3 linked regions of the Callithrix jacchus genome follow. The protein of the gene in region 3 purifies or fractionates together with the protein of the main gene of each other region. This does not show direct contact. Links are inferred from orthologs where the notes say so. Each region holds a gene or a part of one and is shown on either strand. Other genes may lie near its edges.

The links.
Region 1: the proteins of EEF1A2 (region 3) and EEF1B2 purify together in Homo sapiens (co-immunoprecipitation; 4 studies listed by BioGRID and IntAct, counting the BioPlex papers as one, with this or other methods). This does not show direct contact. The link is inferred for Callithrix jacchus from reciprocal best matches to the Homo sapiens genes EEF1A2 and EEF1B2.
Region 2: the proteins of EEF1A2 (region 3) and VARS1 purify together in Homo sapiens (co-immunoprecipitation; 3 studies listed by BioGRID and IntAct, counting the BioPlex papers as one, with this or other methods). This does not show direct contact. The link is inferred for Callithrix jacchus from reciprocal best matches to the Homo sapiens genes EEF1A2 and VARS1.

Annotation. Positions count from the first base shown.
Region 1 is NC_133507.1:127,554,356-127,564,866, reverse strand, and holds EEF1B2 (elongation factor 1-beta), read right to left. Parts: upstream 5,883-10,511; 5' UTR 5,823-5,882; intron 5,550-5,822; 5' UTR 5,528-5,549; coding exon 5,448-5,527; intron 4,952-5,447; coding exon 4,829-4,951; intron 4,197-4,828; coding exon 4,070-4,196; intron 3,568-4,069; exon of another isoform or gene 3,489-3,567; intron 3,403-3,488; coding exon 3,336-3,402; exon of another isoform or gene 3,090-3,335; intron 2,964-3,089; coding exon 2,838-2,963; intron 2,726-2,837; coding exon 2,571-2,725; 3' UTR 2,528-2,570; downstream 1-2,527. UniProt on the Homo sapiens protein: Catalytic subunit of the guanine nucleotide exchange factor (GEF) (eEF1B subcomplex) of the eukaryotic elongation factor 1 complex (eEF1).
Region 2 is NC_133505.1:39,286,263-39,296,177, forward strand, and holds the end of VARS1 (valine--tRNA ligase), read right to left. Parts: intron 8,770-9,915; coding exon 8,605-8,769; intron 8,366-8,604; coding exon 8,284-8,365; intron 7,761-8,283; coding exon 7,641-7,760; intron 7,551-7,640; coding exon 7,442-7,550; intron 7,357-7,441; coding exon 7,262-7,356; intron 5,917-7,261; coding exon 5,826-5,916; intron 5,576-5,825; coding exon 5,451-5,575; intron 5,364-5,450; coding exon 5,260-5,363; intron 5,175-5,259; coding exon 5,016-5,174; intron 4,929-5,015; coding exon 4,838-4,928; intron 4,704-4,837; coding exon 4,598-4,703; intron 4,514-4,597; coding exon 4,443-4,513; intron 4,359-4,442; coding exon 4,233-4,358; intron 3,866-4,232; coding exon 3,761-3,865; intron 3,631-3,760; coding exon 3,562-3,630; intron 3,476-3,561; coding exon 3,397-3,475; intron 3,271-3,396; coding exon 3,143-3,270; intron 2,846-3,142; coding exon 2,690-2,845; intron 2,507-2,689; coding exon 2,300-2,506; intron 2,229-2,299; coding exon 2,117-2,228; and 6 more. UniProt on the Homo sapiens protein: Catalyzes the attachment of valine to tRNA(Val).
Region 3 is NC_133506.1:58,975,070-58,985,464, reverse strand, and holds the start of EEF1A2 (elongation factor 1-alpha 2), read left to right. Parts: upstream 1-3,939; 5' UTR 3,940-4,236; intron 4,237-5,112; 5' UTR 5,113-5,182; coding exon 5,183-5,326; intron 5,327-6,895; coding exon 6,896-7,075; intron 7,076-7,983; coding exon 7,984-8,280; intron 8,281-9,719; coding exon 9,720-9,870; intron 9,871-10,395. UniProt on the Homo sapiens protein: Translation elongation factor that catalyzes the GTP-dependent binding of aminoacyl-tRNA (aa-tRNA) to the A-site of ribosomes during the elongation phase of protein synthesis.

The sequences.
Region 1 (10,511 bases), on a different chromosome or scaffold from region 3:
CCATACTTAACATTTTGGTCAAGCTATTTGGAACTCAACCCCTTTACTATGTGAATAATTGCGGATTTTTATTACCATTCACTTGTTTATTCGTGGTTTTGGGTGTTTTTGTTGTTGTTGGCATTTTTGGAATTCTCAGGCTCTTTGGTTTTCCAGAAAATGAAGTGCTGCCCTCCGCTGGCTCTCATGATGACAACCTGAAAATGTCTCCCATGACTTTCAGGCTGTGTTGGACTATAAGCATTGCTTAGAGATATTATTCGATGCATGTATCTGTTAAAGAAATCCTCTTTATAATTTCCCACAGTCAAGGCGGCCACAACATAAAATCAGACTGAGAGGAAAACTTCTGCTGATACTTAACATTTTGGTCAAGCTATTTGGAACTCAACCCCTTTACTATGTGAATAATTGCGGATTTTTATTACCATTCACTTAAGTTTATTCGTGGTTGTGGGGTGTTTTTTTTTTTTGGCATTTTCAGAATTCTCAGGCTCTTTGGTTTTCCAGGAAATGAAGTGCTGCCCTCTGCTGGCTCTCATGATGACAACCTGAAAATGTCTCCCATGACTTTTTTTTTTTTGAGACGAAGTTTAGCTCTTGATGCCCAGACTGGAGTGCAATGGCACCATCTCGGCTCACTGCAACCTCCACTTCCCAGGTTCAAGCGATTCTCCTGCCTCAGCCTCCCGAGTAGCTGGGATTACAGGCATGTGCCACACCTGGCTAATTTTGTATTTTTAGTAGAGACAGGGTTTCACCATGTTGGTCAGGCTGGTCTCGAACTCCCAATCTCAGGTGGTCTGCCAGTCTCAGCCTCCCAAAGCGCTGGGATTACAGGTGTGAGCCACTCTACCCGGCCTCCCATGACTTTTAGGCTGTGTTGGTTGGACTATAAACATTGCTTAGAGATATTATTCAATGCATGCATCTGTTAAATCCTCTTTATAATACAGTTTTCCACAGTTAAGGCAGTTACAACATAATATCAGATTGAGAGGAAATAGCATTGTCTAGTTCTTTTTTTTTTGACAGAGTCTCGCCCTATCGCCCCAGCTAATTTTTGTATTTTTAGTATAGATGGGGTTTTGCCATGTTGGCCAGGCTGGTCTCTCAACTCCTGACCTTGTGATCCACCCATCTCGGCCTCCCAAACTGCTGGGATTGCAGGTGTGAGCCACCACACACTGTCTAGATCTATTAAAAAATTGACCTAAAAATTTTTGATCATTTGAGATCAGCAATTCCCAAGCACTAGTTTTGTAAAACTACCGTAAAAAAAACGCCCTATCAAACGTTAGCCAGACCCCAAATTCACTGTCAAAATGAAGCTGTTTCCAATGCTTATCACTTTACTCAAATTACTACCCTCATCCCAGTATTTACCTGCAGCATGAGGACATCAGATTTCCAAATCCAAGTAAAATACTCCACGCCCACAATCAAGCAGCTATGAATTATCACAGGAAAGTGAAGTTTATCTGGGAAGCCTGGGAACCAGCTAGCTATATAATCCCCTCCTAGCACACAGTGTTACTCCAAATCACATTCCCAACTCTTAAAAGATGATTTCTTTACAACATGAGTCATTATTTTAAATTTGTAAACTTTTAAGTAGTTGTTTAATTCATGCCAAATTCTGGGAAGCCCTCCCTCCTCTGGGTTAGGTGTCTTCTAGCAGTGTCACACGTTATATCTTCAACTAAGATTTGCAATCATTGCTTTCCAGCCAACGACTGATCCCAATGCGAAGATGCTGGGTTACAATAAATCACGTCATCAGGCATTGCTAAGGACATCACAAGCGGGTAAAGTTGCACTACAATTTTTTTTTTTTTTTTTCGAGACAGGGCCTTGCTCTGGCACCTAGGCCAGAGTAGCGGCACAACCTCACCTCGCTGCAGCTTCAACCACCTGGGCTCAAGCAATCCTCCCACCTCAAGCTCCCAAATAGCTGGGAATATAGGGTTGGGTGCACCACCATGCTCAGCTAAGTGTTCTATTTTTTGTAGGGTCAGGGTCTCTCCATATTGCTCAGGCTGGTATCGACCCACCCACTTCAGCCTCCCAAAGTGCTGGGATTACAGGCATAAACCCCCACGCCCAGCCTGCACTACCATTTTTATTTTTTTATTTTATTTATTTATTTTTTGAGACGGAGTTTCGCTGTTGTTACCCAGACTGGAGTGCAATGGCACAATCTCGGCTCACCGCAACCTCCGCCTTCTGGGTTCAAGCAATTCTCCTGCCTCAGCCTCCCGAGTAGCTGGGACTACAGGCGCATGCCACCATGCCCAGCTAATTTTTGTATTTTTAGCAGAGACGGGGTTTTACCTTCTTGACCAAGATGGTCTCGATCTTTTGACCTCGTGATCCACTGCACCTGGCCTGCACTACCATTTTTTAACAACAATGCTGAACCAAATTTTTATTATTTAGGAATCCCATATTCATTTAATTCCTTCCCTCAAAATGAAAGGAATATACACACCACCCCTCTATATAACATACTCAAAAGCCATAGGTAATCTTTCAAGCTTTTATTTAAATGCCATGATCCAGGATGGATTTTAGATCTTGTTGAAAGCAGCAACATCCATGGACTGGACATAGTCCTCAAAAGCAGTGATCTGCTCCTCCAGCATATCTGTTCCAACTTTATCATCTTCAACTACACATTGTATTTGAAGTTTCTTAATTCCATATCCCACCGGAACTAGTTTAGCTAAAAAGAGCATTAAGAAAAATCTTAGTTAGAAAAGTCCTGTAGAGAAAGAACTGAAGCTGTATGAAAATTCCAGATGTCAGTTAAAAAAAAAAGCAATGCCTAAACTCACATGAGCCCCAGACTAAGCCGTCTGCTTGAATGCTTCTGACACACTCTTCTAATTTTGCCATATCTGTCTCATCATCCCAAGGTTTCACATCCAGTAAGATGGAAGACTTGGCAACAAGTGCAGGTTCTAAAAAACAAACAGCATTATTCAAATAATGAATTACATTTTTTTCACCCTACTCTAAGACACAAACAAATCATCTCAATTTGTTTTGAGAGCGACTATCTCCTTAGTCGAAACAACGGATACATCTTGTGTCTGTCACACATATGCCCACTTTCTGTTTTGCTAAGAAAGAGGTGTTTAATTGTGTTAACAGTTTCTTTCCCACAGAGGAATGCCACAACTGCTACCGTAAGAACAGCTGCAGACCAGTAGCTGTGGAAGAACACCTACAGGAGGTTTTCAACATTAACCTATTCAAGGAATGTGAAGGAAATTACTTCAAGGACGACTCTGAAAAACATTACTTACATTATTATGAAATAAATGACCTACTTTTGGCTTTCTTTGATTCATATTGTGCAAGACGTTCTTCCCTTAGCCTCTTCGCTTCTTCACTTTCCTGTAAAAAAGAAAAAAATTAATCCATTTTTTCAGAAAGCCACTTGTTCCTCTGCTTAAAACTAGTGGGGTCATCACAAAAAAGACTGGCCTTATCAGAAAAAAGCAAATACATCACGAACTCAGCCGAAAGATGGTGATTTGATTTTATTCATCATGCAACCAGTCAGAATTGAGAAAGGCATATAAATCAAAACCAGGATTCAAATCCAGGCAATCTGGTTTATCCACACTGATAAATTGCCGATCAGTGTGTGTGTGTGTGTGTGTGTGTGTGTGTGTGTTTGAGACAGAGTCTCACCAGGCAATTTGGTTTATCCACACTGATAAATTGCCGATCTGTGTGTGTGTGTGTGTGTGTGTGTGTGTGTGTGTGTGTTTGAGAGAGTCTCACTCTGTTACCCAGGCTGGAGCACCATCATAGCTCCTTGCAACCTCCACCTTCTGGGTTCAAGTAATTCTCTGCCTCAGATGGAATTACAGGTGCCTGCCACCACACCTGGCTAATTTTTTTTGTATTTTTAGTAGAGATGGGGTTTCACCAACTTGGCCAGGCTGTTCTTAACTTCTGACCTCATGACCCACCCACCTCAGCCTCCCAAATTGCTGGGATTACAGGCGTGAGCTACTGCGCCCAGCCGATGTATTCTTTATAGAAGATGCCATACCTCCTCATCATCAGATCCGAAGAGATCAATGTCATCATCATCTTTACTATCTGTAGCTCCACTTCCTGTAGTGTCTTCCACATCCACAGGACCATACTTGCCCAAAGCTTTCTTCACTCCTGGCAGGCTTGAAAAACATTTAAATTCAACCACTACTGAGCTAGTATAACAACCTTTTCCAGACAATACAAAATAACTTGTTTCAATCACTATTTATCACTAGATCCCTTTTGCAATAACTTACCCTTTCACATACTCCCAGGTAAACACTGTCATATGTTCGACTGGTCACTCGACAAACATTAGTCCCATGTGAGACAGGATTTTCAATACTCACTACGATTTACTCTTTCAGTATACACATTTCTGTTTGAAATTTCATTAAGTATGCTCAGTTCCATTCTTAGTGAAATGCAGTCCACTTCCCCAAACTTCCACCCTTGTTGGCAGTTTCAGAAGAATGGCCAAGGACTGAATGAATGAGCCACCCTCTCACCCCAGAGGTGGGCCCCCCAGGTCAGGGTCGAGGCACATTGGCAGGGCAGTGTGGGGAAAAGCTGAATTGCTGTTGTCCATGTTCTACCTGTTCTGTGAAAAAATGGAGGACTTCAGTCTCTTGGCCTTCTAAGGTTACTGAAAAATTTAGCTCATAATATCCCAACAAAGCTAAAGTAGCCTGGGTCCAGTTTTGTCATGTGAACATCCTGATTAACTTCGAGAGCAGCCTTATTGCTCAGCTAGACACAAAGATGATTTTACCTGGCCTTTTCCTTTTCATAGGACTTGATGTGATTATACCAACGTAGGGCATGACACAAGTCGGCAGGCGGTGGGCCGGACACTGCTTCAAATACTGCCACATCTGCTTGTGATGGCACATACCTGCCAATGACACAGAAACGTTCATACACACCTTTGAAAGACAAACGCCAGCGAAAATAATGCTGTATGCATCACATTAATTAGTGGGCACTAGCCCCGGCAGGGGTGCTTTAATGATTTTTTTTTTTCTTATCAGCTCCTTAAAATCAAACCATCCTTGGGTCGCCACGTTATCCTGAGAAATGTCTTCCCACTTAGTAGACCTCAACGATTGCAATCTCTAGCATTGCTCTATCTACAGTCCAATATTTTACTAACTGGGCAGCGACACGGCGACACCTGGCTGAATTAAGTGTAAATAAAGTACATTTCAACCTTTTACTGCTAGTGAACCGCTCCCCGGAGCCCGGGCTCGCACCACACGCGGGCCTTGGGAGATGGCAAGGAGAGGCGCTAACCCTTCATCCTCCCTCCCTCCCGGGGCAACCGACGCTGCCCCACGTGGCCCCGGGTCCGACCAGCCTCCTCACCATCCCGTCTCGGCCCGTCCGCTCACCCCTCGATGTAGCTCTTGTCCGCCAGGTAGTCGTTGAGCACCTGGAGGCCGGCGGGGCTTTTCAGGTCTCCGAAACCCATGACGTCTGCTGTATCAAGAGAGCTGGGGAGCAGCAGAGAGACAGAGCATACGCTTACAGCACCCCGCGCTCAAAGAGAAAAAAGGGCCTAGAGAGGCCGGAAAATTCCTTATATAGAGACGGAGGCGTTTCCCTCCACCGATCCCGACCAAAGGTTAAAGGTCAAAGTACGTTGGCATTCTCACTTCTCCACGTACGAATTGGGGGCCCTAAATTAAGTGGCCCACAAATTGTCCCTGGACCCTTCGTTGCGTTTGGAAATAAATTAATAAAATTGGCATGTTTTAAATTCGAACCTCCACAGCTCCGGAAGATAACGAGAACCACCCCTTGAAACGCCGGAGATGACCAAAGACGCTCGGCCACGGGGCTACAGGCCACTTCCGGCGGAACTGCGGGTCCAAGTTGTCCTTCCCGCCTCCCTGCTGGGCCGACCTCCGCTCCGCCCTCGGGTCGGCTGACGGAAATTGCCGACAGACTTGTCGAATGCGAGGATTCTAGTCCCTCCGGGCTTTCCGTTCTCCAGGCCCGGGTGACAGAGTTAGCTGAGGCCGCCATATTAAGTGAGCGACCCGGTCTCCGAAGGGTCGTTGTGGTCCGGACAGTTTAGCAAACAGCCTTCGCGGCTCCGGGGAGAAGGTGAGGTCTTGTATGGATGGGAAGGGTGAGGTGCGTCTCGGCCAGGGGTTTATTTCTTGACGGGACTGTTTCCTTTGGCCCACGCGACTTATTCTTCTCTTGTCCTTGACTGGGGCGCCGCCTCCCGCTCCGCAGCCTCAGAAGCCCCTGAGAACCGGCATGTGGGGGCTTTTAGCCACGGAGTCTGGTCTGATGAAGCAGAAAGGAAGAGGAGGATCAGGGGACACTTGGGAACGCTGGCCCGAATGCACGCTTGCAGGCGACCTTTCCTCTGCAGTGAAAATTCAGGACATTGCCCTCTCAGAGGAGGAGGACGTTTTGTTCCCCAGGAGAGAACTAGTGTCCGATGACTTAGGCGTTAAGACCGAGCCTGTCCCCCCAGATTTCCACACAGCTGGTACAGTGCCTGATTGTTTAGTCGCTGTTGCGTTTTCGTTCACGCCTCTGTTTGTTGATTTTGTTTTGTCCATTGACCACGTTGGACAGCATTTTATTCCTTTCACTGGCGGGGAAATTGAGAAAAAGGACTTTTGAAAAGTTAGCCCAGGATTGCATTGCGAATAACAAAACGTTGTTTACACGTTCTTGGGATCTAATGCTTATACTGTAAGATCTTGAATCAGGCACAACGCTTCACACACGAATTGACAGTATAGAAGTGTAACGGTAACTTTTGATAAGTAAACAGTTATTTTTGTTTTGCGGAATACTCTTGTTTTCACCGAGTTAAGGCTGCCAGAGCACCTGCACTTTTTAAATCCGGGGAAGTGCTCTGTGCAAGTTACGGCCAGAAATTAGAGATTCAGTTCACTTAACAGTTATTGAACATTTACGAGCCAAGAATACGTTCGTAAAGAAGAATAAAATAGGTGATATGACTGGGGAATCGTCAGGAAGTGTTAGATAGGCTGGACAGTGAAAATCTCCTTGAGAGAAAGTTTTTAAGCCAAGATGTGAAGGATGAGGAGTGGCCCGAAAGATGAGAGGGAAAAGCATTTCAGTCTGAGGTTACAGCGGTGGCAAGAGGGGAGGGGCTGTGTGGGAACAGTGTGGAAGTTTGGTGACCTGTTAAGAAGCTATTGAAATACTCCAGGCAAGGAATGATGGTGGATTGGGATAGGGTATACCTTGGATGGATGCAGGATCCATGTTGGAGAACGTGGAATAGTATGGCCCCTATACGGAAAGTTATCCAGTCCAGTATTAGAAATGATTGGTCATTAGCATTTTTCCATCTACAGAGACAAATATTTCTGTTACTACTTGGTATGTTGGTGTTCAATGCACATATGGAAGTGTTGCAAATCTGTGTTTCTTACGTTGGTCTATGCTTTGATGTTAGTGTCAACAGCCTAGTTCTAGTTGATGTCCTATCTAAAGTGAGTACTATTGTTATATCGTATTTTAAATAGTATTAAAGTTTTAAAATTGAATGAAATACTCATTGTTGATTTCAAATCTGTCAATGCTCTAATGCAGCAAGTTTTGGTTTACAATATACATATGCCATCAGTTTTTAATAGGACAGATGCTACTCATTTCTAGAACTTGGTGATACCGTGTTAGGTCTTCAGGAAGGGAAATATGCAAACTCTGTCCTCAAGGAGCTTACAGTCTGATAGGTACTAAAATTGATTACTAACCTACAGTTTAGTAAGTGGAATGATAAAAATAAATATGCAGTGTGTACTGGTACTAAAGAAAAGGCACAAAGAGCCCTTTAAAACTGATTGTCGGTGGGCTGTGGTGGTTCACACCTGTAATCCCAGCACTTTGGGAGGCCAAGGTGGGTGGATCGCCTGAGGTCAAAAGTTCAAGACCAGCCTGGCCGACTTGGCCAACCTTGTCTCAACTAAAAATACAAAAATTAGCCAGGCATGGTGGCAGGTGCCTGTAATCCCAGCTGCTTGGAAGGCACAGGTTGCAGTGAGCTGATATCATGCCATTGCACTCCAATCTGGGTGACAGAGCGAGACTCTTGTCTCAAAGAAAAAAAAAAGCCACACAGAAACTTATTGTCAGTGGCCACCAGTACTGCCTAAGTTGAATTCAGCTTTAACTGGCATTTATTGAGCTCCTACTAATAGCTCATAGTCTAGGAAGTACTGTTTTCCTCCTGCCTTGTAAGTAAAGAACCAGTAACTGATTTACCAAAAATTACTCGCTAGCAGGAAACAGAGTTGATGTTTGCAAATTCAGTATCACATATTCTTAATTAACGAAATGTTGAATTAATGACATTTCCTGTTGTACATCATCTGTGATAAGTGTGCAGAATTTTGTGCTTAAAACCAATGTATATGCACTGTTATCCAATAATACTGTTGCAAGTATTGAAACTTTACTGTCGAAATTTTTTTTTAATACATTCTAATCATATAATTTGCTGCTTCCTTTTTTGCTTGTTTGTTTTTTGTTGTTTGAGACAGGATCTTATTCTGTCTCCCAGGCTGGAATGCAGTGGCATGATTAAAGCTCATTGTAACCTTGAACACCTGGGCTCAAGCCATCCTCCCAGGTCAGCCTCCTGAGGAGCTGGGACTAAAGGTTCATGCCACCACACCCATCTCTTTTTTTTGCAGAGATGGAATCCTGCTGTGTTGCCCAGGCTGATCTCAAACTCCTCGAGGTGGCATCCCAAAGTGTTGAGACTACAGGCATGATGCCACCTCATCTGGCCAATTTGCATTTTTAATACCTTTAGAAGTTCCAAGTGATTTTGCTTAACCTATATGATCAAGCAAACAGGCAAAAAGGTCAGTGCTTACCCTATGTGATCAAGTAAAAAAAAAAAAAAACCAACAAGTTTAGAAGTTTTGGTAACTTGGATGGGCATGGTGGCTCATGCCTGTAATTCTAGCACTTTGGGAGGCTGAGGCGGGTGGGTCACATGAGGTCCGGAGTTTGAGACCAGCCTGGCCACCATGGTGAAACCCCATCTCTACTAAAAATACAAAAATGTTCTGGGCAAAGTGAATCACACCTGTAATCCCAGCACTTTGGGAGGCTGAGGCAGGCTGATCACCTGAGGTCAGGAGTCCAAGACCAGCCTGGCCAACGTGGAGAAACCCCGTCCTACTAAAAATACAAAAATTTGCCGGGGTGGTGGTAGGAGCCTGTAAATCCCAGCTACTTGGGAGGCTGAGACAGGAGAATCACTTGAACCTGGAAGGCAGAGGTTGCAGTGAGTTGAGATCACACCACTGCACTCCTGGGTGACAGCGAGACTCCCTCTCAAAAATAAATACATAAATAAATAATAAAAATGCAAAAATTAGCCTGGTGTGGTTGTGCACACCTGTGGTCCCAGCTACTCAGGAGGCTGAGGCAGAAAAATGCTTGAACCTAGGAGGCAGACATTGCAGTGAGCTGAGACTGCACCACTGCACTCCAGCCTGGGCAACAGAGTAAAACTCCGTCTCAAAAAAAAGAAAAAGTTTCGGTAACTTTTCTTTCTGTTTGTGTTGTTTGTCTTTGAGTCATGGTGTTTATGTAATCCACCCCCATTTATTTCAGTAATTCAGTAAGCCTTTTGGCGCAGTGTCTCAACTTCAGCACTATTGATACTTTGGATAATTCTTTATTGTGGAGGACTATCCTGTACATTGTAGGATGTTTAGCCGGCACCCTGCCCTCTATCCACTAGATGCTGGTAACTTCCCCCTGTTTGTGACAGCAGTGTCTTCAGACGTTGCTAAATACTCCCTGGGGAGCAAAATTGTCCCCAGTTGAGAACTGTTGTTTAGGAGCTTACTCTGTGCCATCCTGTTGGATAGGTACTGAAGATAGAAAAATCAAAGAGTTAATGCAATGAGGGCAGAATGGGCTTATAAACACATAATTGGAAATCTGTAAGACAAGTGTATCAGAAAATAGCACTCAAGACACCTCAAAGGCTTGGGCTGGCAAGCTATCTCAGAAAATGTCAGGAGCCTTTAGTAGACAGCTATGCTTGGAACATGAAATAATAGAATGGGTATTGGTAGGAAATGAAAGCAGAAAAGTAGACCTTATTTTACATAACCATTAGTGATAAGCTCACTGTTAGTCTTGTAGTTTATTTTACTGTGTGGTAGTGTTTTAAGTTTGATCCTTTCTAAATAATTTTTTTAAATGACAAAACTCCTCTCTGCATAGAATTAGGAAAGTGCAAATGTATACAATAGCTGTTGCTGCTTAGCTCTTTGACGTTGTACAAGTCTATGTCTCTGAGACTAAGAATTCTCATCTACAGACTTTAAGGGAAAAAATCAGAACCTATGAATGTTCAGCGACATAATGTATGTGAAATACTTTAAAGCCATAAACATTACCAGCGACATAATGTATGTGAAATACTTTAAAGC
Region 2 (9,915 bases), on a different chromosome or scaffold from region 3:
GAGAGCTGGGGAGGAGGAAGGGAGCAAGCAGCGTGACTCAGACCTGGCCCAGCGCCAGGAACAGACCCAGAGAGACGCACCCCTCTATCCTCCAGGACCAGGGCCTCACTCCCACCCTGCAGCCACCAAAGATTCAGGAATCCAGGCCCTCTGCTCCCCTCTCTGCCCACCATAGATGACAAGAGGATTTTGTGGGAAAATATTTTATTGCTGCCACCCTGTGGTAAGCTGCTGGAGGTGAGGGGTGAAGCTGGGTGGTGGATCACAGCATCTTCTGGAATAGGGCGATGGCCTCATCCACCTTCCTGAGCTCTGCTTCTGTCTGTTGGAGCTGAAGTGGAACCAGGTGGGGGTGGGGTGAGGACCCAGGTCCAAGCAAAGGGACACCCACACGCCCAGAGCAAAGTTACAAAGATGAGCAAGGACCATGGGGGGTCAGTGGCTCAGAGGAGGCACGTGCTTGGCTGGCCAGGCTCCCCACCCATTCCCACCAGCATCCCCACTTCCACCTCTTGGGTCTTGCCTTTTTCCACCGAGTGGTCAGTCCCCAAGAACAAAGGAGACTCAGGGCATACATGCCCCCACCCATGGTCCCCACCTGAGTAGAGCACAGGCTCCCAGGAAGGTCACTTCATTTGTCAGATGAAGAGGATATTGACCCCCTCCCGAGGCTCTTGGGAGAACCATGTGAGATGAACTACTTCCACTCAAGGCTCTCTAGCTCTTGGCCTCCTGAGCTAGATGACTGGTTTTCTCTGTGTCTGTGCAGTTTACTCCACTGCCTCTCTCTGGCGGAACCCAGGAGGCAGGGGACAAATGAGACTGGCTTTCCAGGGTCAACCCAGGAGGCTTGAAAGTAAGTGGTGGGAAGTCCAGGGCTCCCTGACGCCATGCGGATCCCAAGCCCAGCCCAGGCCTGCAGGTTTCCATATTTCGGGGAGCAGGTGGGGAATGAAGGGTCTGGCTGGGAGACAGGATGCCTGGTTCTAGGTCGGCCTCCATCTCTGACCTGTTGTGTGACCCTGGGCTGTGACCAGCCCAGAGCTGTTCCCCATGTGTAAGGAGGGGCCATTCCATGGTTCCTGCTCATAAGGCCTGGGCTCCATTCTTCCCAGTGGATTCCGCAGGGTTGAGCACAGATTCCAGCTCCCAGACCAGGATTGGCTTTTGTTTTTGTTTTGCGGGTTGTTGTTTTTTTTGTTGTTTGTTTTTGTGTGTGTGTGTGACAGGGTCTTCTCTTTGTCGCCCAGGCTGGAGTGCAGTGGCACGACGCTGGCTCACTGCAGCCTTGGCCTCTCGGGCTCAAGCAATCCACCCACCTCAGCCTCCCGTGTAGCTGGGACCCCAGGTGTGTGCCACTATGGCCGGCTAATTTTTGTATTTTTGTTGTAGAGATAGGATTTCACCATGTTGGCTGGTCTCAAACTCCTGGGCTCAAGTGATCCACCCACCGCAGCCTCCCAAAATTCTGGGATTACAGGTATGAGCCACTGAGCTGGCCTGTTTTGTTTTTAAGGCTGGCAGGAGTGGAGAAGGAACAAAGAAATCTATAACTGGTTGTGATCAGTTACTTGTCAATACCACAGCCCTTGGACCAGCCCAGACCAAGGTTCTGATGGAGGAAGCGGATGGTGGAAATGCCCACCCATGCCACACACCTTGGCTTCATCTGCCTCCTGGACTTCAGGGGGCACCTTGACAGGGTAGCCTGAGGCAGCACGGCGTTCCCGCAGACGCTGGGCCTGCCGCTGTGCCTCAACTCTCTTGGCTTGCAGCTTGCTCAGCTCCCTCGCTGGGTCCACCAACCCCTGCAGCTGCAGGTGGATGGAGCAGCGATCAGAGGCCAGGGCTACAGCGCAACCCTGTGGGGCGGGAGCCCCCAGGGCCAGGACGGCCACCACACCTGCACTGGCCAGTGCCTGCACGTAGCCCGACACAGCTGACACCAAGGCACCCGTGGCCTCATCTGCCACTTCCAGGAAACCTGCAGGGGAGGGAGAAAGGTGAGGCCTGGCTCCGTGGAGACAGGAAACCAAGCAGCCACTGCTGGACACTGGGTCCCAGAGTAGGCTGAGGGGACAGTGGGATGGGGTGGACATCGGGGCCTGAGGCTCACAGTCAGGCCGGATCCGGGTGAGATTGTAGTCAGCCCGAAGGGAGCGCACAGCTCTCGTGATACTTAGCGCCAGCTCGAGGGCGGCTTCTGCCTCCGGGTCCTTCCAGGAGCACTGTGGGGTGGAGGAGGGGGTAAGGGGACCTGGAGGGCAGGCCAGACTCCCCTCTCCAGGCCAGGCCATACCTCCGAGGGCTCCGGGTATCGGGTAATGCAGAGGCTAGGGGGAGCTTGCGGCGTCCTCCGAGGCAGTCTCTGGAACAGCTCCTCTGTCACGAAGGGCATGAAAGGCGAGAGCAGGCGTAGGCCAACATCCAGGCAGGTGTACAGGGTCTGGCGGGCACACTCAGCTGCCACCTGGTCCGCCCCATTCAGTACAGGTTTGAGGCACTCCTAGGGGATTAGAAATACAGAACTCAAGGCTGGAAGTCTAGCCTTGAGCCCTGGCTGTGCCTGGGAGGACTGGGAAGGGGATGGATTGGCTTAGGTCTCAAAGCCAACTCTGGCAAAGCTGAGCCCAGGGCTCTGCTGTCCACCTGCCCCTGCCGTCCCCTGCCCCACTCTGCTCCTTCTCACCAAGTAGACGTCACAGAGCTCATAGAGCCAGAAGCTATACTGGGCAGTGGTGACGGCCGGGAAGTCGTAGGCCTGGAAGCCTTGGTTGCTGAGCCTCACAGCCTCTGTCAGGCGGCTGCGGATCCAGCGGTCCACCAGGCTCTCATGGCCTCCGGGCTTGGGGAGAGAGGGTGTATCAGCTGGTGCACCAGGGGAGGGTACCATAACCCCTTGGGAGCAGGAGTCATGGCCAAATCTTCACCCAAAGTCTGATGAGTCCAAAGTAATCATGTATGTGCCAGGATCTGGGGAGAAATGACAGGCCCCAGCCCCCAATGCCCTGGGCTTTCCAGAGCTTTCTAGAGCTCTAACTGTCTCTGTGTCTATCTGTCCCCCCAGCTACATGGAAGCCCCTCTGGACAGGGGTGCAGCCTGTGTGGGTGCTGCCAGCTTTGCTGCCCATCAGGCCCTTACCTGGGAGGTGGGTGAAGGCACAAAATCCTTCCCAAGACCACGGAGGGCAAATTTGGTGGCATTCCAGAGCTTGTTACAGAAGTGGCGGTAACCCAGTATCCGATTCACATCCAGGTTGATGTCACGACCTAGGTCAGGGGTGAGATGTAGTCCTCAGCATCCTCTTCCCAGCCCATGCCCACCAGAGGCTCAGGGTGGAGGACGGGATGGCCTCACGGAAGGAGTAGCCGGAAGGAAAGATTTGGGCGCCTTACCTTGGGACGTGTAGGCACATAATCCAAACCGGAGAGCATCGGTGCCACACTCGGGAATCCCCGCTGGGAAGTCAGCTTTCTACAGGGAAGAGGCAGGGGGAGGAGCATCCTCAGCCAGTCCCATCCACGCTGTGCTCCTGCTCAGCCCAGCTCAACCCTCCATACCTGCCCTTCCTTGGCCTTCTCCACCTCACTGGGATCAAGGTTGCTGTTCAGCAGCTGGTCATGGAGGCCCTGAGGTTGAAATGGGAGCAGTCAGGTGGCTGTGGCCACAGCCCTACAGCCCTTCCTGGCTGTCCCAGCACCCAGCCCACCTTGGCCACAGCCCTACAGCCCTTCCTGGCTGTCCCAGCACCCAGCCCACCTGCAGGGAGACTCCGTGGATGACATCCAGGGGATCGATGACATTGCCTAGAGACTTGCTCATCTTCCGACCATGAGCATCTCGCACAATGGCATGGAGGTAGACCTGCAGGGCAGGTGGGGAGGCCCGTGAGATGCAGTCACCTCATCCCCAGCCTCAGTGCCTGGCCAAGACTGTGTCTGGTCTACCCAACTATGAACCACAGGCCCCACTAAGTGTCCCCAAGAGCTCATTCAGCGCCTTTATGTGAATCAGAAGTACTCCCTCCTCTGGGAAGACGAAGCCCTGGGCTGGGGCACAGGAATCACTGAGCAGGGACCAGGCTGGATTTCAACCCCCACCAGCTCTCCGTCCACGCTGGCCCACAGCCAACCCCATGTCCCAGCCACTCGGGGCCCAAGTTGCAGCAGAGGAGGGCAGGAGAGGAGGCTGGAGGCTGGGGGCTGTGGGAGGGTCTTGGCTGTCTCCGCACCTCTCTAAAGGGCAGTCTGCCCGTGAGCTTCAGACCCAGCATGACCATCCGGGCCACCCAGAAGAAGAGGATGTCGTGACCAGTCTCCAGCAGTGTCCCAGGGTAGAACACACTCAGGTCTTCTGACTGAGGACAGACCGGGGTGTGAAGGGAAACCAACACCCCACCTCTAGTCCCCTGTCCCGCCCTGCCCTGGCCCCAGGAACTCACCTGGTTGGGCCAGCCCAAGATGGAAAAGGGGAAGAGGCCAGAGGAGAACCAGGTATCCAATACATCCTCATCTGAGACAGGCCAAAGGTTAGAGGTTAGAGGGAGTGGAGCTCTGCCCCCTCAACTCCCTCCAAACCCTCAAGGCCCTGCCTTGCCTTGCTGGAGACTTATCTTGTCAGGGGACACTCCGAACTCCTTGGCCGCCTTCTCCAGGGCCTCTGCCTCGTTTCGTCCACTCACCCAGTACCGCCCGTCAGGGTCCTGCCGCACGTGCAGTGATTACACAAGAGGGTGTGTCTGCTTCTGCCTCACCCTGCCCCTCCTCCCAACCAACGACCCAATAAACCCACCACTCCCCCAAGTGTCCCAGCATCCAGCTCTGGCCCTCTGCTCACCTCCCCAGGGGGCACTGCTGGGTCATTGACAATGACGAAGTATGCTGGGATGCGATGGCCCCACCACAGCTGCCTGGAAATGCACCAGTCCCTGCAAATGTGGGGGTGGGGAAATCAGAGAGGGCCTGGTGGAGCCCAGCCCAAGCCCTGCCCCTCCCACACGGAGGGCCCTACACACCGGATGTTGTCCATCCAGGCATGCCATGTGCGCTGATGGGCCTCAGGCAGGATGTGGAGGTCTCCCCGTGTCACGGCCGCACTGGCAGCCTGGGCCATCTCTCCGCAGCGCACGTACCACTGCGGCCGCAGCAGAGGCTCTACTACGTCCTTCGACCGGCTGCAGGTACACGTAGGTGAGAAGCCAGGAGGTGAAACCCTGAGGTGCCCTCCACCTCCCTCCCCTCCCTGGCCCCCACCCTCACTTGCAAAGTGGCACCACCATGGGGTTGTCCTCGATGCCACGGAACAGTCCCCGTTCCTTCAGCGCCACCAGCACTGCCTTCCTGGCCTCAAACCTGGGTAGGCCCTGGGTAGAAATAAGGCCTCATCATGGCAATGCCCAGCCACCCCTCCATCTCCCCGACCCGGGCACTCATGCCCCAGGCAACCTCACCAGGAAAGGCGGAGGCACGTTGACGAGGGCCCCCCGGGAGTCCATGATGCTGATGGCCTCCAGCCCATGCCGCTGCCCAACTTCATAGTCGTTTTGGTCATGTGCGGGGGTGATCTTCACAGCACCTGAGTATACATATGGGTGCCTGGGTCATGAGAGACTGCATGGAGTTCCTTCCTACACTCACCTCTTTTGCTGAAGGATATAGCTCTGAGACCACTTCTGGCCTCTACCTATCTAATACGGTCCCTTGAGAACCACCCCAAGCTCTGCCTATTTGGCTGAAGCTTATTTTCTTTTTATCTGAGAGAAGATGGACAGCTAGGGTGCAGCTCCAATCTCTTCCTCTCCCCACAGGACCAGCCCCTTGCCCACCTGTGCCAAATTCCATGTCAACAAATTCATCGAAGATAATGGGAAGGCTCCGAGACAGGAATGGGTGGATCACGTTCTTCCCCTTCAGGTGCTGGAAGCAGAAAAAGATATTAAAAAATGCATCAAGTGGGGTCAGGTGCCATGGTTCCCTCCTGTAATCCCAGTCCTTTGGGAGGCCGAGGTAGGCAGATCATGAGGTCAAGAGATGGAGATCATCCTGGCCAACATGGTGAAACCTCATCTCTCCTAAAAATACAAAAATGAGCTGGGCGTGGTGGCATATGCCTGTAGTCCCAGCTACTTGGGAGGCTGAGGTAGAATCACTTGAACCCAGGAGGCGGAGGTTGCACTGAACCAAGATCAAGCCATTGTACTCCAGCCAGGTGACAGAGTGGGACTCCATCTCAAAAAAAAAAAAAAAGGTTGTTGGCTGGGCGCGGTGGCTCGTGCCTATAATCCCAGCACTTCAGGAGGCCGAGGCAGGTGGATCACGAGGTCAAGAGATCGAGACCATCCTGGTCAACAAGGTGAAAACCCGTCTCTACTAAAAATACAAAAATTAGCTGGGCATGGTGGTGTGCGCCTGTAGTCCCAGCTACTCGGGAGGCTGAGGTAGGAGAATTGCTTGAACCCAGAAGGCGGAGGTTGCGGTGAGCCGAGATCGTGCCATTGCACTCCAGTCTGGGTAACAACAGCAAAACTCCGTCTCAAAAAAAAAAAAAGATTGTATAATGTGATTGTGGGGATTGTGGTACATCCCTATAGTCCCGGCTACTTGGGAGGCTGAGGCAGGAGAATCACTTGAACCCAGGAAGTGGAGGTTACAGTGAGATAGCGTCACTGTACTCCAGCCTGGCAACAGAGTGAAAATCTTTCTCAAAAACACAAAAACAAAAAATAAAAAAAGTTAGCCAGGTGTGGTGACGCGTGCCTGTAATCTCAGCTACTCTAGAGGCCGAGGCACCAGTACTGCTTAAACCTGGGAGGTGGAGGTTGCAGTGAGCCCAGATGGTGTCAGCTGCACTCCAGCCTGGGCAATAGAGTGAGACTCTTGTCTCAAAAAAAAAAAAAAAAAAATGCATGAAGGAGCCTAGCATAATGGCTCACATCTATAATCCCCACACTTTGGGAGGCTGAGGCAGGAGGCTTCCTTGAGGTCAGGAGTTCAAGACAAGCCTGGTTAACAGTGAGACCTTTAAAAATGCACTAATGGCTAGGCCCAAGTCCTTCTTTTCCAGGGCCCTGACTGTCCCAATACCTGAAAGCCCTCAAACAGTCCCCAGCAGCTCTCCCGTCACAGCTGGAAAGAAGCTAAGGTCAGTTTCTAACCCAGTTTCCTCTCCTCAGCAGGGGCCTCAGCCCAACCCCTCCACCCCAGTAAGTATGGGAGCCCTTTTTGGCCAGGATTCCTTCCCCAGCTGTGGACAGTCCCCCACCTGGTATCTGGTATCTTTGGGGTGCACAGCTATAGCCACATCTCCCAGCATTGTCTCAATCCGAGTTGTTGCCACCACCACCTCCTCGTCGCTATCTGGGGTGACAAAAGGCCTTGTGGTCTGGGCCCTGGCCCTTTACTGCCACTCCCAGCCCAGGATCCTGGTGCCCCTGGCTCCTACCTGAGCCTTGGACCTTATAGGCAAAGGACACGAGGACCCCAAACTCCACCTTTTCCTTGTAGCCAGGCACAGAGAGCAGGGTGCGGCCTGTCAACTCCTTCTTATCCACCTGTAAAATGGGTATTTACAGGCGTGGGCCAGGGGCCAGGGCCAGGGCCAGGGTAGATTGGAGATGGAGACAGGCCAGGTGGGGGCGCACCTCAATGTCAGAGATGGCGGAGTTGAGGGTGCAGGACCAGTTAACAAGGCGGGTACTGCGATAGATGACACCTTCCTCATGAAGCCGGACAAAAGCCTCTGTCACAGCTGCTGAGAGTTTCTGGAGTGGAGCAGGGAGAAGTCAGAGAGATGGGCCTTGTGTCTGGAGGCCCAGGCAGACAGCCAGAGGTCCAGTGAAGCCTGGCCCATACAGAGTCCCACTGGCCAGTACAAAGACCCCTCTGAAGGGAGTATTTTTCTTGAGGGGGAGAGGGGACTAAGGAAACACAAGAGCAGGCCACAAGTCTTGTGATGCTGCAGATGGCGGGGAAGACACTCAGCTGGGGACAAGTACTGCTGCAGAGGACCCCAGGGGTTCAGGCTCCATGGGAGGTGGGGTCCTGATCATGTGCAATCTGGAGGAATCTGGAGGTCCCAGAGCCGAGACAGGGAACAGGAAGGGCTACGACATAGAAAAGGCTATGGCAAGGGGTGGGAAGTGGTGATTGTAGCTGAGCCCTCCATGGTGTTTTATGTGGGCCACCTCCTGAGAGAGGGCTGCAGCACCTGTGCTCTCTTCTGTGGGGGTCCCACCCTGGGAAGCCTCCTACTCCTGCTCCAGCTTTGAGAACCCTCCCACGTACAGGGTCCATGGTGAAACAGGCTCGATCCCAGTCCAAGGAGCTGCCAAGCTTCTTCAACTGGTGGTAAATCCGGTCACCTTTCCTGGAAGTAGACAGACAGGCTGGTGCCAGCACTCATGCCTGGGCTGGAGGGAGACATCAGGTGGCTGATGGGGCAGCATGGAGCTCACTCATCCCACTGAAATTGACCTGGGCCCTAGAGACAACTGACTCTGCTTCTGAGGGTCTGACCCTCTGGCCAGGGGTTACAGGTGACAGAGGTCTTCTGGATAGCAGACAGGAGGCAGGCCTGCGATGCCCACAGGAATGCTGCATACTCACTCCTCCTTCCATTTCCAGACCTCCTGTAGAAAGGCCTCGCGGCCCAGCTGGTGCCGGCTCAGCCCCTGCTCACGCCATAGTTTCTTCTCCACTACCACCTGAGTGGCAATGCCTGCGTGGTCACAGCCAGGGTTCCAGAGGGTGGTCTCCCCACGCATGCGGTGCCTGTTATGGGGCATGGAGGACCAGAGAGTGAGCCAGGCCAGTGGAGCCTAGCACCAAAGGAAGCAGAGGCTTCAGGCAGGGAGTCAATGGACTCTAAAGAAGCAGGGAGGCCAGGCGTGGTGGCTCAAGCCTGTAATCCCAGCACTTTGGGATGCTGAGGTGGGTGGATCACCTGAGGTTGGAATTCAAGACCAGCCTGGCCAACATAGCAAAACCCTGTCTACCAAAAATACAAAAATTTCCAGGCATAGTGGTGCATGCCAGTAATCCCAGCTACTTGGAAGGCTGAAGCATGAGAATTGCTTGAAACCGGGGAGGTAGCGGTTACAGTGAGCTGAGATTGTGCCACTGCTCTCCATCCTGGGTGAGAGTGAGACTCTGTCTCAAAAAAAAAGAACAAAGAGGAGGCTCCTGTCAAACAGGATAGCAAAAGTTCTAATTGTTGAAATAAGTTACTAAATAGGAAGAAAATGGTATCTGGAAATAGATACAAGTCGATTTAGTATTTGTGAAAGGTGGCACTTCCTATCAGTAAAGTAAGGAGAAACTATTCAAAATATTTGTTTGGAACAATGAGCTAATTATTTGGGGAAAAAAAATCTCCCTTTTCCCAATAGTCACAAAAAGTAACTTTAGATAGATTAAACAACTCAAGCCAGGCGCAGTGTCTCATGCCTATAACCCCAACACTTTGGGAGGCCAAGGTGGGAGGATTGCTTGAGCCCAGGAGTTGGTGACTAGCATGGGCAACATAGTGAGACCTTGTCTCTGCAAAAAGAAAAAAAAGCCAGGCATGGTGGATGCACCTGTGGTCCCAGCTACTTGGGTGGTTGAGGTTGAGGCTGCACTGAGCTGTGGTTGTGCTGTGATCATGCCAATGAACTCCAACCTAGCCAACAGAGTGAGACTCTGTCTCAAAAATAAATAAATAAACTAATTATTTTGTTTAAACCATATTAACTAGGAAAAAAAATGTGGCAACCTTAAGTGTTTTACAAGGTATTATGGCCAGGTGCAGTGGCTCACTCTTGTAATCCCAGCATTTTGGGAGGCTGAGGCAGGCTGATCACCTGAGGTCAGGAGTTTTGAGACCAGCCCAGCCAACATGGTGAAACCCTGTCTCTACTAAAAATACAAAAAACTTAG
Region 3 (10,395 bases):
TATCTCTGGGCACTGGAGGGCATGGCACCCCTGCACCGGCCCCAGCTGCTGCCCTTCTTGGATCTAAGAGGTGACCCCATGCTGGTCAGTGACCCTGGCCTCTGTTTAGCCTGCCAGCCTGTAATGGGCTGTAACAGCCAGGGGCCGGGAGGGGCTGGGGGCATTGCAGCTGGAAGCCCAGAAGCCCAGGAAGTGCTGTTTGCCGCAGGAGTGCGTGCTGGTTGCTCCCCACCGCGGTGGATGCTGGGCTCCCTGGCAGCAGGGCCTGGAGGGAGGGGCCTCCCTCTGCTGCCGCTCACCATGGCAACATTCCCAGCTGGGCCCTGCAGGTGGGGGTGGCAGGCCAGGTCACCCTTCCCCCTCTCCGAGGGGCTACATCCCTCCTGGGCCTCCCTGGTAGACCCAGGCCTGCCTCAGGCACACCCACACACTGGTTGTAGGGTGGGCTGTCGGGGCTGTGGCTGGCCCGGGTCTGCGGCCTGGCCTGCAGGCATGCTGCCCACTGCCAGCTCAGCCCCAGCGCCTCTGATCTGGGGGATGTGAGCTGCTCCTTGAAGGGAGGCTCCAGACGCAGGAGCTCCTCTGCTGCCATGGAGACTGTTTCATTCCCTGCCTCCAGGGCATGCCCAGTCCCCTGGGAGCCAGCCCTAAGGCATGGCCACGGGGGAGGACCTTGTCCTGGTGGCCATCTGGGGACCCAGGTGGGGTAGCAGGTGAGATGCTCTGTGACCAGGAGCTGAATCCACATCTGCGCTGGGGCCAGGCCAGGGCTGAGGTCATCCTGAGACCCTGGGGGCCGGAGAGCCGCCTTGGCCCTGCTCCCCACCCTGCCACCACGCCCCCGTCAGCCTGTGGGCCGCCAGCCTCCACCTGCCTGTGGCGGTGGTCCTGGGGTGATAGCCTGGCTGTGCCCCATGCACAGGTGGCTTGTCAGGCACTCGGAGGCTATTATTAACCCGGCAGTGGCGTCACCAGCAGCCAATGGGAGGCAGGTTTATTTCCGGGGCTGACAGCTTGAGAGCGGTTAATTTTAGCTGCATCTTCTTTCCCAAGGCTCGTGAAACCCTAGCCAGCCAAGGGAGGGGTTGCCTGTGTCTCCCCAGACAACTCAGGGATGGTCCTGGGGGCTCTGGGAGGGGGCGAGGAGGGGCGGGGCCTCGCCCAGAGAAGCCCTGATTGGCTGGTGCCCTCTCGGCTCGCCATCCCCCTGCCCGCCCCCCAGGCTGTTGGTAAGGGAGGTACTGTGACCAGGGACTCAGATGCAGGAAGAGGGGCCCAAGACGTGACCTGGGGGAGGGCAGGAAAAGCACAGGCCATGGCCAGGGTGGGCCCCAGACTTCCATGTGGAAGCCATGCTGGCCTGGCTCAGGCCTCCTGAGCCCCTTACTTGCTGTGTGGCTTTGGACAGGAATCTTGGCCTCTGTGCCCAGCTGCCTCACAGGTTCTCAGTGTCCTCCGACAGCCTTGCGGGGCCTGCCTCGTGGCCTCAGTCCCTGCAGCTTCCACCCCCATACACTGTGCACACGAACAGCCCTGGTCCCTGTCCCCTGTACGCTGTGAACTCGCACAGCTGGGCGAGTTGGCTGTGGCTGGTTAGGAGGCTTGTATTCGAAGTCATTTGCTGCTACCCAGCTGCTGACAAAGCTTTTGCCTGCTTGTTCTGCTGTGACAGAACCTGAGACTGGGTAATTATAAAACTTTATAAATTTATAAATTCTGCTTATTATAAGTAAACAGAAGTTTGGAGTCTGGAGTCTGGGAAGTGCAGGGTCAAGGTGCCGGCATCTGCTGTGTCTTCAGGTGGGAGAAGGTGGAAGAGCAAGAGAACCCATTGCCATGAGCCCTGTTTATAGGGCAAACCCTTTATAACCCAAACACCTTCCCAAAGCACCAGCCCCCAACACTGTCACACTGGGGATTAAGTTTCCAACTCTGGGGACGTGGTCAGACCACGGCAGTTATTCAGCAGTGAGCGTTCCGTGGTTAGTGGTCCTTCAGCACTACTCAGTCTATGTGGTGGCTCAGACAATCAGTGTTGGCATTCAGCCTGGTGACTGCAGCTCCGTCAGCTGTGTGTTCCAAGTGTCTCTGGGTACTGGGTGGGCAGCTCTTAGGACCCTGAAGGGCAGCACTGTGGACCAAACGTGTCCTGGCACCCAAGAGACCCTTACCCAGAGTGAGCACACAGGTGCTGTGGGCAGGTTGCCACTTTCCACTCTCAGGGGCCACTCCTGTGGGTGGCAAGACCCCCTCAGCACATGTGAGCTCCCAGCACTGCTGTGGGTGAGCCAGGAGCCGGGGGGAGGGGTGTCTGGAAAAGGTAGCCTAGAGTCCTGGTGGTCCTTGGGGGAGTCGGGTGGGCATCCTAGGGATCCCAGCCTCCTGCCCAGTGTGATCCGCCCCAGCCGGGGCCAGTGGAACACCTGCAGCAAGCCCGCCCCCAAATCCCAGCCTAACCTTCGGCTGCAGGGGAGGAGATAAATATAGAGACCAGCTGGGTGGGGTGGGGTGGGCTTTGCTTTCTCGCCAGGCGGTTATTTTTATTTCTGGCTCCTGTTCGATGGCATCAGCAGCACTCAGAAGTGCTGGGGCATCTGGCAGCCCTCCCTGACTCCCCTCCTGCCTGTGGCCCTGGACTCCTATGGGGTGATGCAGCCACAGACCAGTGTCCTTCTGAGAGGCCCTCTCCACTGGCTGGGGAGAACTGCTTAGCCCCAGCCACTACCCTGGGCCCCTGCCTTTCCTTCTTCCTCACACCTGCCAGTGGGCCAGGCAGGGGTCTGGGCTCTGGGATCCCCATGGCTTTGCCCAGCGGCAGGTGCTAGGCTGGACCTGGTGCCTCCATGTCTGCACCCAGTGGGCACTCAGGGCTGAGAGGACAAGTGCCCGGGCTCTGCCCCCACTCAGCACACCCCTCCTGAAACTGCGCTGGCAGGAAGATCCGAGTCGGGGGCGGGGCAGTGTGGGAGGGTAGACTTGAACACCTGGGTGAGGTGACACAGTCTCGGGGTCTGGGAGAAAGTCCCTGATCCTGGTCTTCATGCAACACATGGTGGCCACGTCCCCTCCTCACAGTCCACACTGGGCCACATCCCCTCCTCACTACCCATGCTGGCATTACCCGTGTGCCCAGGACCTCAGGGACTCCCCACTTTCGACAGAGTGTGGCCGGGTCTTTGGCATCCTGATCTCATATGAGGATCAGCTGTAGGCACTGGGGTGCAGCCAGGTGGGGTGCTGCGCAGGGGGCCTGGGTGTCTGGACCTGAGTCAGGCCCTTGGCTGGCACTGTTTCCCAGCAGCGGCTGGAGGTAGGTGCACGGGGAGGGAGTGTCTCTGGAGGATGTCCCTGGGTCTGGGAGCGGGCTTCCAGCGTTCCCTGCATGGTGGGAGACCAGGGTCTCAGGGGGAGGGTGGTTTTGGGCTGAATCTGCCGGCAGAGCCTCTGGCCTATCAGAGTGCGTCCAGGAGGGCAGGCGCATGAGGACAGGGGCTGGAAACCAGCAGATTCTACCCTAAGGGTTCTACCCTGAGGCCTGAGCCCCGGACCTCATTAGGAAGAGCCCCTGGGCCCTGGGCAACCCCCAAGAGCAGGGCCTGGAGCAGCCGGTAGACCCAGGCCGGCCTCCCGGGCTGCAGTGCACCTGCTCCCCGGCCCCGCCTCCCGGGCCGCCGCGCGCTACCCTCGCCGCCTCCAGGCCTCCATCCTCCCGCGCAGCCGCCGCGCGCTCCTCCTCGGCCTCCCGCGTGCGTCCTCGCGGCCCGCACCTCCCGCATCCCCCCGCGTCCCCGCCCCCGCCCGCGCGCGTCCGCGTCCGCGCCCCGCCCCGCCCCCCGCGCGTTCCGCATTGCCGTGCTGCAGGGCGCGGTGCACTGCGCCGCCACCGTCAATAGGTGGACCCCCTCCCGGAGATAAAACCGCCGCGCCGGCGCCGTCAGTCCCTCTGGCTGAGACCTCGGCTCCGGGTAAGGACGCTTGGCCCCCGCCCCGCCCCCGCCAAACGCTGAGGGCCCCCCCGGGACTGGTCCTGTGCGCAGAGGGCGGCCGGGCCCCGCACCCACCCCGCGCGCCCGGATTCCGGCTCTTGGGGGACCCCGCCTTGGCCGAGCTGTGCCGGGGCGGGGGTTGGGGGCGGCAGGCCGGGTCCTGGGCTGCGATCGCCCTGTAGCCTTGACCTTGGGGCCGCGGGGACCCTGCGGGCCCGGGGCGCTGGGCCAGAGGACGCTGAGGGACCTGGTGAGACCTGGGGGCCCTCCCCACCCCCACCCGTGTTTCCACCCCAGGGTTTCCCTCCCCCAGCCACCTGTCCCCGAGGGGCAGTGTGGGTTTCCCCACTGACCTCTGCAATGGGACGGGGCTGTGACCCAGGGCTCTGACCAGAGAGAACGGTAGGGAGGGTCCCCCCATGCCCCCACGGGGCTGAGGGCATCTCCACCTGGCATTTTCTGGGATTAGCTGGGCAGGGTCCTCCCTCCTCTGGCTGGAACAGGGACCCCCACCTCCTGGCCACTGTCTGCCCCTGTGAGAGTGTTGGGGGGGGGCATCGAGCTCTTCTGGGTCCCTAATCTGGGCAGTGCATCTCCATCGGGGCTTTGGTCCAGCCTGCCAGGCAGGGATGAGGGGAAGATGGCGCCCTCCCTGCCTGAGGAGGGGAGTGGGGAGCAGTGGCCATCTCTCTGGGTGGCAGTGGGTGGGGGTGGGGTACAGTGTCCCTGGCCCTGCCCAGGGAGGGGAGCATGGAGGACAGGGCCCTGGAGCACTGGGCAGGTGACTCATCACCCAGCTCTGCTGGTCATGGGCGCACCCAGCTGGGCGCTGCGTGGTCCCTCCAGAACGAAGGCTAACCCCTTCGCAAGGATGGGTGGAGGGCTCCAGTGCCCAGTTATTTACAGCAGATGGGGCTGTTGGGGCTCCCGTGTGGGGTGGGGGCAGGGTACAGCCTCTATTGGCCCCTGCCAGGTCCAGCAGGGTGGTGGGGGGACTCTTCTCTCCCCACCAAACATGGGGGTTTGGTTTGTGGGCAGGGACGTGGGCCCAGCCTGGCCAGGACAGTCTCTGTGGGTCTCCCCGAGGCTCCTCACCACCTGTCTCCCCCCACCACTGGCCCCACAGAAACACTGCAGCCCCCCTCACCCTGAGCCAGAGCACCCCGGGTCCCGCCAGCCCCTCACACTCCAGCAGAATGGGTAAGGAGAAAACCCACATCAACATCGTGGTCATTGGCCACGTGGACTCCGGCAAGTCCACCACCACGGGCCACCTCATCTACAAGTGCGGGGGCATTGACAAGAGGACCATTGAGAAGTTTGAGAAGGAGGCAGCCGAGGTGAGCATGGGGGCTCTTCTCTTTGCCCCCTGAGAAGGAGCCCCCCAACTCCCAAGGTAGCCAGGCTTGGCATCTCCCCAGCCCCAGGCCATGTGGCTCAGGTTACCTCCTCCGGGGCAGGAGGGACCCCCGCTGTGGGGCACTCAGGCCTCAGAGGGGCCGGTGGGGCAGCATCTCTTGGGGGGAGCTTGGTGGGGGAGGGGTGACCATCGAACTGCCAGTCTTGCCCTGTGGTGAGGGAGGTGGCCTGGGAGGGTCTGCAGCCCACTTGGGCTGGGGCTGAGGACCCTGGAGCCTTGCCCCCTTCTCCCCAGGGCCAAGGCTGGGGCTGGGGGTGGTGCTGCCCTCACTTGTCCCAGGGCCCTGCCAGGACGCACACTGCTATTAATAGCTGAGTGATGGGCAGCCGGCCCGTCTGCTCCATTTTCTTTGCTGGGCTGTGGAGGCTGCTGTCTGGGGCGGCCCTGGGGTGGGGGTCCTGAATGGGGCGGCCCTCTGGCTGACCTTCTGAAGCAGCTCCTCTTTCGTGGCTGAGATGGTGGTGGGGGGCAGCCATGAGTAGGGATCTGTTCTGTGCCCCCGCCCCCCCGCTCAGGGCTCTGGGGAGAACCGCACTTCTGGGAGGGCCTGTGGGAGCTCTCACCTGGATGATGAGTGGGAGGCCAGAGCCCAGGAGGGCAGTCGCTGTCCTGGGCTGAGTCTCTGTCCTGGGGGTTGGGGCGCTCTGAGCTGCACCCGTTTGGGCCAGGAACCTGCATCATTCTTTACCTGGCCTCATTGGGAGGAGGTGGGGGTTTCGGAGGGCTCCTGGTTCAGGCCCCAGCTGGGTTTCATCTGGGTCCCCTTCAGGCTGGGCAGCCTCTTGGAGGGCAGAGTCCTGTCTCTTTGAGGCTCTGGAGGGGAGCTCTGCCCGGCTGAGTAGTGACTGGTGCCCACCTGGGTAGTGACCGAAGCTGCTGCCCTGACCACAGCCCATCCCCAGCTGTGGGGGTCCCACTGGGTGAGGCCCCCCAGCTTCCCCTGTTTGGCAGAGAGAGGAAGGGGAGGGGAAGCCTCAGAGGGACCGGGAGGCTGGAGCAGCAGGAAGGAGCTGTATGGCCAGGCCCTCCTCCTGACCTCATTCCACTTTCCTTTCTCCTACCTTTAAACAAATAACACAGAGGGTTATTTATCTGACAGCCCTAGACATGGTGGTATTATTGGCCTCTGGCTGAGGAAGGGATCTGGGGGCATACACAGCTTCAGATAAAGGGGAGCCCTCGCCAGGGAGGGGTTTATCCCATCTGGCGACTTCGTTCCGAGATGAAGTGACTCCCAGGCCCTCACGCCACCTGCTGGTGGACGTGCGTGGCCGCGCCCATTTAGGAGCCGGTGGAGAGGCCGGCCCTAGGGGGCAGGGTCTGGGTGTGGGTCAGAGGGGGCTGGCGACCCAGGACCCTGGCGGGGAGCAAGGGAGTGCTGGACCCCATCTCCCGTCTCTCCTGCCTGCTGGGCGGTGACAAGCAGCTCCCGCTGCCAGGGACTTGGGTCCCGGGTCCCGCCCTCAGCCGTGACCCCCACCTGCTCCAGATGGGGAAGGGATCCTTCAAATATGCCTGGGTGCTGGACAAGCTGAAGGCAGAGCGCGAGCGTGGCATCACCATCGACATCTCCCTCTGGAAGTTCGAGACCACCAAGTACTACATCACCATCATTGATGCCCCCGGCCACCGAGACTTCATCAAGAACATGATCACAGGCACGTCCCAGGTGAGCAGGGCACAGCAGCTGAGGCTGGGGGAGCGGCCGCTACACCCTTCAAAGAGACTGGGGTCCCCTGGGGTCACCCTGGGTTGGCTGGGACTCCTGTACTTCCTGTGAGGGCAGGGGACCCCTCATTGTGCCACCCTCATCCATCCTGGGTCAGAGCCCCCTAAGAACAAATCCAGTGCTTGTGAGGACACCTGGCCAGTGTCAGAGTCCCCAGGTAGACGGGCAGATGTGGACATGGACCCACGTTCATAGACAGAGGGGCTCAAGGCCAAGATGGGGATCCTGAGCAGTGGGCAGAGGTGCCACCAGCCAGGCCTGGACTGTGACATTTTGGAGCACTCACAGAGACGCACAGACACCCCAGACACAGCATCCTGCAGATGGCAGGACGCACACCACCACCTCCAAACTGCTTTGAGAACTATGACCTCAGTCTGTCCTCAAGTGAGGAACAGGACCAGAGAGGTGCAGTGACTTGTCCAGGGGCACAAAGCCCATTGGTGGTGAAGCCGGGGCTGAACCTCGGTCCCCTGACCCAAGGCCTGGTGATGAGGCCCTCGAACTGCCCTTGAAGTAGGGACCCCCATGTCTCCTTCCCCAAGGCCCCAGCGGGCTGCTCAGATCCCAGCCCACTGCCTGAATAAACCTGGGAGTGAGGTGAAGCTGGGCTGTCTCCATCCCCTGCCGGGCAGGTGGGGCTGGGATCACTGCATCCCCTGCTGGGCAGGTGAAGCTGGGCTCACTGTGTCCCCCGCTGGGCAGGTGAAGCTGGGCTCACTGTGTTCCCTGCTGGGCAGGTGGGGCCGGGCTCACTGCATTTTTGCCTGCTGGGCAGGTGAAGCCAGGCTCACTGTGTCCCCCAGCGGGCAGGTGGGGCCGGGCTCACTGTGTCCTCCACTGGACAGGCGGACTGTGCAGTCCTGATCGTGGCGGCGGGCGTGGGTGAGTTCGAGGCGGGCATCTCCAAGAATGGGCAGACTCGGGAGCATGCCCTGCTGGCCTACACACTGGGCGTGAAGCAGCTCATTGTGGGTGTGAACAAGATGGACTCCACGGAGCCGGCCTACAGTGAGAAGCGCTATGATGAGATTGTCAAGGAGGTCAGCGCCTACATCAAGAAGATCGGCTACAACCCAGCCACCGTGCCCTTCGTGCCCATCTCCGGCTGGCACGGTGACAACATGCTGGAGCCCTCACCCAACGTGAGTGGCTGACTGGGGCGGGGTGGGCCGTGGGGGCTGGCCAGACCCCTTGTCCCAGAGCAAGGCAGCTGTAGGTGGCAGGGGGAGGTTGAGAGCCTGTTCCTGGGACATGCAGGTTCCCCACAAAACCTGCTGGGTTTCCCTAACTGGCTCAGGGCCCAGCGGGGAGCCCCATCCCCCTCAGCACTGAGTGTTGCTCCTCCACTCAGCCTCCCACGAGGCTGGCCAGGGCCGGTCCCCCACGTCAGCGCTGCAGGGGCAGCGGCCTCCAGCACCAGGCCCATGAGCTTGGTCTCCAGGACCCTGCCATGGGGGTGCTCGGTTTCATCTCTGCCAGGCCTTTGTCCTGACCCTGGACACCGTGCAGGGGTTGTGGGCTGGGCCATGGGGGGCTCCCTGGCTGCCTCCCCGAGGTTTTGGAGCACAGTTGGGCTTTGGGAAGTGTGCAGTCTTCTGGGCTGACGGGGAGGGCCAACAGTTGGCTCTTGGCTGGTCAGTTGGCCGCTCACTGTGCGAGCAGCCTGTGGCTCAGGTACTCCGCCTTGGCTGGAGGTGATGAGTGGACACTTTCAGAACCTGAGACTGTGTTCCGAGGGTTCTCCAAGCCAGGGGACACCTCAGAATGGCTGCCATTGGGCTCTACCAGTGCGGTAGTTGCCCACAGTGAGGGTGCCGGCGTGAGAGTAGAAACAGCGGGGAGACTGAGACCAGCAGCAGAGCCCAGAGCTGAGGTCTGGGGACAGCTGACAGGGATTGCCCCAGCCCCACCTCCATCTCCTGTGGCTGGTGCTGTTTACCTGTAATGACACTTTCCTCACAGGCTATGATGTGGTGAAGGCCATCCTCTTCCTCCCCAGGGAGGCCGCCAGCCATCAAGGACCCCGCACTCCACACTCCCCTCTGGCCTGGACTGCTTACATAGGCCCTGGGGTGTGGGGCACAGTGTGGCCCGAAGGGAGGCTCTGTGGAGAGGGGACGGGGCCGTACGGGAGAAGCTCCGGGCAGGGCTGGGCTGAGCTTGAAGGCAGCATGGTGTCCAGGAGCTAGGGTTGGGGTGAGGCTTCCCCCAGCTCAGTCCCTAGGGGGCCCGGCCCTTGGCCCTTCCTGCTGTTCAAGTCGCCTGCCCCCCCTGGATCTGATGGTCAGGGGCCCCAGGGCTTGTGGCTGGACTAGGGGTTTGTTTCCAGTGTCAGCAACTCCTGAGCAGCCTGGGCTGGGAGGGACACTTTGTGTTTTTGTAATCCTCCTTTAAGAGAGGTGTCCTTCCAGGGTCCCTGTGATGCTGGGGCTGAGCTAGGGTGGAGCAGTGTGGGAAATTCTTCATCTCAAAGGGCATGAGGCCAGTTTAGCCTGAACAGAGGACTCCTGGAGGCAGCCCAGGGAGGCTGGGGAGGCCGAAGATGTCTCTGTGATGGACTGATTTTCTCCCTTCCACCCAGATGCCATGGTTCAAGGGCTGGAAGGTGGAGCGTAAGGAAGGCAATGCAAGTGGCGTGTCCCTGCTGGAGGCCCTGGATACCATCCTGCCCCCAACACGCCCCACGGACAAACCCCTGCGCCTGCCGCTGCAGGATGTGTATAAGATCGGCGGTGAGCCAGGGTGCTGTGCTGGAGACCTGCCTGGCCAGCTCTGCCTGCCCCAGACCAGGGCCCTATGAGGCTTCCCAAGACCAGGCTGTCTCCAATCTCTCCCCTTGCCACACACTTTCTGGGGGACATTCCATCCCCCATCTATCCATCCATCCATCCATCCATCCATCCATCCATCCATCCATCTCCCAACCCATCTATCCTCTCTATCCATCCATTCATCCATCTCCTAACTCATCCATCCTTCTCTCCATCCATCCATCCATCTACCTCCCCACCCATCCATCCATCCACCTCCCCATCCATCCATCCACCTCCCCATCCATCCATCCATCCATTCATCCACCTCCCCACCCATCCATCCTTCTGTCCATCCACTCATCCACCTATCCATCCAAATATCTCCCCATCCATCTATTCATCCCTCTATCGCCCTGCCCATCCATCCTTCTCTCCATCCAGCTATCCATCCACCCACCCCCACCCTGTTCATCCATCCTTTGTTCATCCATCCATCTGTCCATC